Regions from separate parts of the Mus musculus genome. Here region 1 is reported to be linked to region 2. Evidence: microRNA targets listed by miRTarBase, many of them from high-throughput screens and not tested one by one. Region 2 holds a microRNA gene; the other region holds the end of a gene's coding sequence. Distances are from middle to middle.
What was found. Region 2 holds the annotated microRNA mmu-miR-127-3p (UCGGAUCCGUCUGAGCUUGGCU, at 1,099-1,120, shown strand). A microRNA usually pairs through its seed, bases 2 to 8, with sites in the 3' UTR of a target mRNA and lowers its output. Matches are read on the target gene's strand: a 7mer-m8 pairs with bases 2 to 8, a 7mer-A1 pairs with bases 2 to 7 and ends in A, and an 8mer does both.

Region 1: miRTarBase lists Tspan13 as a target of mmu-miR-127-3p. Seed matches in the 3' UTR shown: 7mer-m8 at 1,183-1,189.

What each region holds. Positions count from the first base shown.
Region 1 is chr12:36,011,958-36,015,957 of GRCm38, reverse strand. It overlaps Tspan13 (tetraspanin 13), which reads left to right. Exons shown (of 6, transcript NM_025359.3): 6 at 186-1,403. The coding sequence ends at 260. Among named protein-coding and RNA genes, the nearest start is that of Agr2, 21 kb to the right of the region's middle.
Region 2 is chr12:109,591,790-109,595,977 of GRCm38, forward strand. It overlaps Mir127 (microRNA 127), which reads left to right and starts at 1,057; the gene lies at 1,057-1,126. It overlaps Rtl1 (retrotransposon Gaglike 1), which reads right to left. Exons shown (of 2, transcript NM_184109.2): 2 at 1-3,699. The coding sequence starts at 3,614. It overlaps 6430411K18Rik (RIKEN cDNA 6430411K18 gen), which reads left to right. Exons shown (of 1, transcript NR_002848.3): 1 at 1-1,062. Mir433 (microRNA 433) reads left to right here; the gene lies at 1-49. It also overlaps Mir434, Mir432, Mir3071 and Mir136.

The DNA.
Region 1 (4,000 bases), 74 Mb from region 2:
TCCAGGCATGGGGAAGGAGCATGCAGTCTAACACAGTGTTCAAACTTCAGATTTGGTAGTGCCTGTCCTTTGATTTGCCTGAATCTTGTCTTTGCACACAAACCAAGCAAAAGGAACTCAGAAGTTTAATTTATTCTGTTCATCGACTAAATCGATTCAAAACTCGTTTGTCCTTCTAATTCCAGATCCTGGGTGTTTGGCTGACCTACAGATACCGGAACCAGAAAGACCCTCGCGCCAACCCGAGTGCTTTCCTTTGACGAGAAGACAAAGAAGACCTTTCCTCTGTTGATCTTGTTTTCTTTCTCTAATCTCAAATTAAACTAATTTGTTCATACGACAAAGGAAGCAGTATCTGAAAACCACATTATGTCAACGATGGAATTAAAAATTTTACTCTTAAGTTTCTCCAGACATTTTTTTTTTCTTTCCATTGCTAAAAAAGCAATCGAAGTTCCCCATATTCCCTGGCCCTCAGTGGTCCCTGTAATCTACTGTTGTTGGTGTCTGGCACTGTCCACCGTGGCCTTTCTTAGCATTTTTACCTGCTGTAAACTGTGTATGGCACCCCTGGGTAGATGATATTTGACCCCAGATCTTCATCTCACTGTCTAATTACCCAGAGCACTGGGGCTCCCACCCAAGACAGTTGATGTTTTATGAATCCAGAAAGGAAGAGACTCTGTTGTGTTCAGTTCATTAGGAGAAATCTATGTTCCTGATACTTTTTGCCTTTTGGAAAAGCTACATTGTAGTGAAAAGTGTTAGCACAGAAGTGATAATTTAGTTCTAGTAGTCTGTCAGGATTGCATCCCTGTGTTCTAGAAATAGCTGTGTCTTTAGGAAAATGAAATTTAGTTTTTGACCTTTTTAGTCAAGGGCAAAGGAAGATACCATTTGGGAAATGCTTTGGTGTGTAACATCTTCAGCTCTCAAAATGGGATGAATTTGAGGAAGATAGAGCATATATCTACATAATCTGATGTAAAAAAAAAAAATACGAAGTTCAAAACACTGTATATGTAAACAACTTGCCGTCAATACATTGGCCCAGGCCCATGTAACAAATAGATATTTGGTTATCTTTAAAAAGTAACTTTTTTTTTCAAGACAGGGTTTCTTTGTGTAGCCTTGGTTGTCCTAGAACTAGCTCTGTGGACCAGGCTGGCCTTGAACTCACAGGGATCCGCCTGCCTCTGCCTCCCAATTGCTGGGATTAAAGGCACGTGCCACCATCGCCTGTCAAAAAATAACTTTTTAATGACATTTCTTGGTATTGTGACAGCAAGTTGTCAAATCTAAATATATTTGAATGTACTACCTCCCATAAGTTGAGAGAGAAATGGTGTTTGTGGCTCTGTATATTACATTAAAAAAATAAAAGCTGAAAACCTTCCTTTGTATATGGGTGTTTAAATCAAAGAAGGTACTAGAAACATTGACAAGGCAAGTAGGCATCTTTCCTTCTGCTTTTCCATAGCCTTTTATTATACCTTAAGATGGTGTTTAACCAAGCCTTAGAAATACACCCCCAGTAATGATGTCTTTTGGAAGTTATTCCCAAATCCTTTCTTTTTTTTTTTTTTTTAAAGATTTATTTTATTATTATATGTAACTACACTGTAGCTGTCTTCAGACACACCAGAAGAGGGAGTCAGATCTTGTTACGGATGGTTGTGAGCCACCATGTGGTTGCTGGGATTTGAACTCTGGACCTTCGGAAGAACAGTCGGGTGCTCTTACCCACTGAGCCATCTCACCAGCCCAAATCCTTTCTTAAATTAAGAAACAATTTGTGTGTGTGTGTGTGTGTGTAAGTCAGAAGACAATTTGTAAGAATTGGTTCTCCCCACAATATGGGTCCCAGGGATCCAACTCCGGCCGTCAGGTTGGATGGCAAGTCCTGTTGCTACTGAATAATCTGCTGGCCCTCAAATGCTTTATTGAACAAGTTCATTGGCTAATGTTATCATCTGCATAATGAAAAAGGTGTTTTTATTTATTTGAAGAAGCCACTTCTATTTATATGGAGAGAGTATACACACATTCTTTTCCATTAGTGACAGTTAATTTCCTGTTGTGGTTCTGAGTAGAATGTGAAACATTATTGGTGATCGATAGTTTATACCAAGAGGTTGTTGGTAAATGGTACAGAGGAATGCACCTTGGGGCATCTGTGTCTCTGCTGCTAGTGAGTCTTACCCAGAAGCAGAACTGCGCTATTTCTAGGGTGTCATGCCGAGCACCATGGCCACCTGGGCAGAACTGCTTATGCTGTAAAACGAGAGAAGTGACTCATGAAAGGAGAGTGTTGAAGGCTTGTTTTCTTTCCTGTATTTTTTCTGTTTATTCAGCTGCAGATGAAAATACCCGATGAGGTTCTAAGGAATCCTAGCATACTCTTGGTACAAATGATTGCAAATGGAAAGGTGGTTGCACAGAGAACTCGCCTATAACTTGGTTTTTGCTCTAATTGCAATGGCCTTATTGGAATCAGTTAAAAACCAGGGTCTGAGGGGCCTGGGGAGACGTCTCAGCTATTAACAAGTCATCCTGCTGTTGAGGGAGTCCAGAGTTCCTTTCCCAGCACCTACCTTAATGCCTCACCATGGTCTGAAACTCCAGTACCTACAGGGGGATCTGATACCTCTGGACCCCTCAGGCCCCTGCACACTTGTGCATTCTCTCTCACTCTCTCTCTCTCTCTCTCTCTCTCTCTGTCTGTCTGTCTCTCTCTCCCTCTCTCTCTTTCTCTCTCTCTCTCTCTCTCTCTCACACACACACACACACACACACACTAGATTTGTTTTTGGTTTTGTTTTTTAAATTAGGATCTGTCCACGGGGAGCATTTTTGTTTGTTTTGGTTTCTGTCTTTTGAGATAGGGTCTTCCTATGTATGCCAGACTTATTTTGACCTCTTTATGGCCCAGGCTAGCCTCAGACCTATTGCTGGGATTTACAATTGCAGTAAGCCCATATAAAGACCACACAATCCAGTTATTCTAAGCTGTAGATTGGGCAGATGTAACACTATTCTCTAACTTATTCTCCAGCTATAAGACCCCTTGCAGTTTCCCCTGACCAAGTGGTTCTGCTCCAACATGGCTTCCTCCTCCTCCTCTTCCGTCCTCCTTGTGTTCTCATTCTCCTCCCTCTCCACATGCTGTCCTCTCTAAGACCTCCTGTCCCACCTTTCTCCTCCACTGCCCAATCACACGCTCTAGCCTTTATTGATCAGTTAAAACAGGGAGAAGGGTCACATGAGATCACCTGACTCGGGGCAACCCCTCTTGAGGAAAGAGAATTAACATCAGAATACAAACAGCACCAGGGCAGCCCACAACATTTCCCCCTTTTTGTCCAATAAAAAAGGCTCTTTTTTTCTCAGATATAAATTTAGTGCAACTATAACAATTATGCAAATTATAAGTTATATACTTAACATTCAGTCCATCATATTTGTCAATTTAGATAAAGCACTCTATCATATATCCTAACTTAAAACGTGTATAATCCCATGCCTGAATTATGTTGATTTTAACTTGTATTACCATCTGACATCCATCCCTTCATATCTGGAACTTCTTTAATGCTAAACAACTTAATTTCAGTTATGAGACTATAACCAGTCTTCAACTCATTCAGAGATCTGAGAAGGAATTAAATATTACCTAAATATATATGTAGGAAGCATAAAGACATAGCTTCCAAAATTATACAACTTATAGAGACAGCTGGCTGCCTGGAGTCCATTAATTTTATATAATGTTGGAGCATCTATCTTTATCCTTCTGACCCATAACCATTTGACCTTAAGTAAAACAGGAATTATGGAGGACTGGCTTACTCTGTCTTGGCAGAGGATAGCAGTCGACTACTCCACCTCTGGCCTATTTTGGACAGTATTTTTTGTCTGCAGATGAATTGGGGCAATTCTTGCTCAGTGGCTACCTTGACACAATTGAAGCAACTCCACATAGAGGTAATGATGCTTAATA
Region 2 (4,188 bases):
GGCTCCTCGGTGTTCTCCAGGTAGCGGCACCACACCATGAAGGCAGCCCGGATTGGAAGGATCCTCATCTCCACTCGAGGGTACTCCACCTCCATTGTAGAGAGGGGTCTTGAATAGAAAGCACAGGTAGATTTCTTGCCAGTTTCGTCGTCGGTTTGGACCAGGGAGGCAGACAGGAATGACCCAGTGATGTCTGTTTCCAAGTAGAATGGGTTCTGAGGCTTAGGGTGATAGAGAACGGGCGACTTGCGGAAAGCCCTCTTCAGGGATTCCAAGGCCTCCTGCTCCTCTTCTCCCCAGTAGTAGGGCTCTGAACTCAGCAGTTGTCTCACTAGGGGTGCTGCGATGACAGCGAAGTTCTCCACGAAGTGGCGATAGGGATAGACAAGGTCAATCACACTTTGAAGACACCTCCTGCTGCCAGGGACAGGGCACCCCACGATGAGGTTCATAAGGTTCTTGTTCAGTTTCACCCCTTTGGGGGATATGTTGAAGCCCAAGATTTCAGCGGTCTGGCGATGGAACTGAGTTTTGTCCAGTGAACAGTAGATGTTGTGATACCGAAAGCGGACCAGGACTTGGCGGACATGCTGGGAGTGTTCCTCCTGGCTCATTGAGTAGACCAGGACCTCTCTGCCATGGCAAATCACAAACAACCCTAGGATGTCTTTTAGGATGAAGTGAACAATGTTGTTCCCTTCGTCAGAGTATGAGTTCATTGTGAAGGGCCGGTAGCATCTCATCTGGTGAAGGCCGAAACCGAACGATGCTCTCCAAGTGTCTTCCGTGTGTGTGACCGTGTGCCTCATCTCACTTTCCTTAATCCCAAGCAGCTCCAGTTTTGTGAACCATGCCGCTCCATGTAGCTGGTCGAATAGCTCTGGTACCATCTGCGTGTAGTCTTGTCTGTCAGTCAGCATGTCATACAGTATCCAGTATTCCTCTTGCTCCCTGGCTTTCTCTTGCTGCCTGGCTTTCTCTTGCATCCTGGCGCTCACAGGTTCCAAAGTCTCTCGGGCCCCAGACTCGTAAAAGACGCCGCTTTGATCACTGTCTCCAGCCTGCTGAAGCTCAGAGGGCTCTGATTCAGAAAGATCATCGGATCCGTCTGAGCTTGGCTGGTCGGAAGTCTCATCATCTGCCTCCCTCGGGTTAAACACGTCGGCCAGGTCTGAGTATGTGTGTGGCAATCCGGGCAGTAGGCTTATGCTGTATGTCTCTAGTGCGATGCATGGTGGAGGTGGGGTGAAGCAATTCCGCAGACAGTAGGGAGAGTGGAAGGTACACCGGCCTCTCATCCAGTCGACTTCAGGGGCATGGGTTCGGAGCCACTTCATGCCTAAGACGATGGAGAAGTTGGGCGAAGGTAAGATGTCAAATTCGATGTACTCATAATGCTTCTGGTGGACACATACCAGGGGCTCGGTGCACAGCCAGACGGGTTCATTGCCAATTGGGATGCCATCCACACCTTGGATTATCTGTGGATAAGGCTTCTCATAGAGTTCCACATAGTGTTCCTGGGCAAACCTCTCATCCATGTAGTTCCCTTCTGCTCCTGAGTCCACCAGGGCCCGCACTGCGACACTGTGGTAGGGGTCCACTCTCACCAAGAGCAGTAAGAAGAGGTGATCGCGATCAATGTCTGGGTGGAACTCATTGGGCAGCCAGCTGCTTACCCTCCACTTCTCTGGGGCGGGAGCATCCATCCAGGCTACGCTTCTTGGGCGCGACTCAGGTGGCAGCCTGAGTAATGCTCTTCTCTCTGCCAGCTTTTCTTCAAGTTGCAGGACAAGTACAATCAGGTTGTCTAGGGAATTCGGCTGAGGGATCCGGAACAGATAGTGCCTGATCTCTTCGTTGAGCCCCTGGCACAGGTGGGCCTGCAGGACTTCATCTGGCCAGCCTAAGGTGGGTATCAGACCCCGGAACTCATTGATGTAATCGGCCGCACAGCGGTTCCCCTGCCTGATGTTGAACATGGCGTCTTCCGCCACACGCAGGGTCTGCCGATACTCAAACTTTTCTGACATGGCCTCCAGGAAGGCTGAGAAGTTGTTTATCACTGGGCTGTTCTGCTCTACGAGGTCGTTGGCCCATTCCAAGGCTAGGTCAGTCAGGTGGCGGATGACGAATTTCACCCGCAGCTCATCATTGTATAGCATACTTGGGTAGTTCTGCATTGTCATCTGGCAGAGCACGACAAACTCATGGTAGTCTCTGCGATCTCCAGAGAAGGGCCTGAGGGAGGGCAGGCGACCTTCGTTGATAGCCTGCATCATGAGCCTTTCTGCCACTCTCTGTTGTTCTTTTAGGTCTTGCATCCGGAGGAACAGCGAGATGACGTTCCCCATGGTGGCCACGACTTCTTCTGGAGAGTTCTTGGGCTGACCTTCCTCTTCACCACCTTCCTCTTCCTCCTCTTCCTCGTCATCTCCCAGGTCAGTATCATCTTGGTCTGACTGGGTCTCGGATGAGTTGATTGTTTCATCCATGCTATAATCGGATGCCTCACTGAGTGGTTCCGACCCTTCCTGGTTTGAAATATCACTTGACTGGTTTGAACTGTCGCTTGACTCCTGGTTCGAATTATCGCTTAACTCCTGGTTTGAATTATCACTTAACTCCGGGTTTGAATCATAGCTTGACTCCTTTTGTGAACCATCGCTGGACTCCTGGTTTGAACCACCGCTTGACTCCAGGTTGGAAACATCGCTCGACTCTGGGTTTGAACCAAAGCTCGACTCATGGTTTGAACCATTACTTAATTCGTGGTTTGAACCATCACTCGACTCCTGGTTCGAACCATCATCACTTGATTCCTCCATGTCTTGGGGTAGATCGTTAGATGATGCCTCACAGGGGTCGCTGGATGGCTCCTCCACTTCCCGGAGTAGATCAGTGGGTAGCTCTTGCATTTCCTGGTAGGGGCCACTGGATGGCTCCTCCACTTCCCGGAGTAGATCAGTGGGTAGCTCTTGCATTTCCTGGTAGGGGCCACTGGATGGCTCCTCCACTTCCCGGAGTAGATCAGTGGGTAGCTCTTGCATTTCCTGGTAGGGGCCACTGGATGGCTCCTCCACTTCCCGGAGTAGATCAGTGGGTAGCTCTTGCATTTCCTGGTAGGGGCCACTGGATGGCTCCTCCACTTCCCGGAGTAGATCAGTGGGTAGCTCTTGCATTTCCTGGTGGGGGCCACTGGATGGCTCCTCCACTTCTTGGAGTAGATCAGTGGGCAGCTCTTGCATTTCCTGGTGGGGGCCACTGGATGGCTCCTCCACTTCTTGGAGTAGATTAGTGGGCAGCTCTTGCATTTCCTTGAGGGGGCCACTGGGTGGCTCCTTTTCTTCCTGGGCTGGGCCACTATCTGAGCCCGCCTGGGCCTCAACCTGGGCCTCAACCTGGGCTTCAGCCTGAGCCTCCGCCTGGGCCTCCACCTGGGTCTCCGCCTGGGCCTCCGCCTGGGCCCCTGCCTGGGCCCCCGCCTGGGCTCCACTGCTGCCTGGTGTCTCTTCAACGGTGTTGGATGAGCCCTCGGAGGACTCCATTTGTTTTGATGATGGATTCTTAAGCTCCATCATCGTCTCAAATGAGTCTTCAGAGGGTTCTATCATGTCGTCGGTTGGAAAGGAGTGTGCTCTGAAGACTGGTAAGATTGTGATGTGTGTGGTCAGAGACCGCAACTGTGGAGACCAAAACCTAGGGACAGAGGGATAAAAGACAGGAGAAAATGTAGCAATTTAGGTTCTCAAGATGGCAGGGTCAGATTCTATCTCAAGGACAAAGCAGATGCCAAGTTACTAGAATCAGAGAGAAAATGGAGAAATTCCTCCTGCATTCAGTTCAGCCTCCTTTTCTGGTTACTTGGGGCACCTCCAGGGGAAAGACCGTCACCCCCTGACCTGCCTTCCAGGCGGAGTCTGACTACCCCACCTGCCTACTTCCTCTAGTGGAATGAGAAATTCACAGCCCATAAATTTTGTGGAGCAACTGGCCTGGAGCGTCCTCTGTGGCGAGCTAGCACCTGGCAGGGCACACTTCTGGCCCGCTTTGCCCTGGCCAGGTTCCCTTCCCATTTGTAGTCACCCAAAAGTCATAAAGGTCACATCTCAATGCCACTCAAAGCGGCTGCTGGCAGGCTTGGTGGTCTAGAGCCAGCCCAGTGAGCTTGGTTGGAGGCGGGAATCT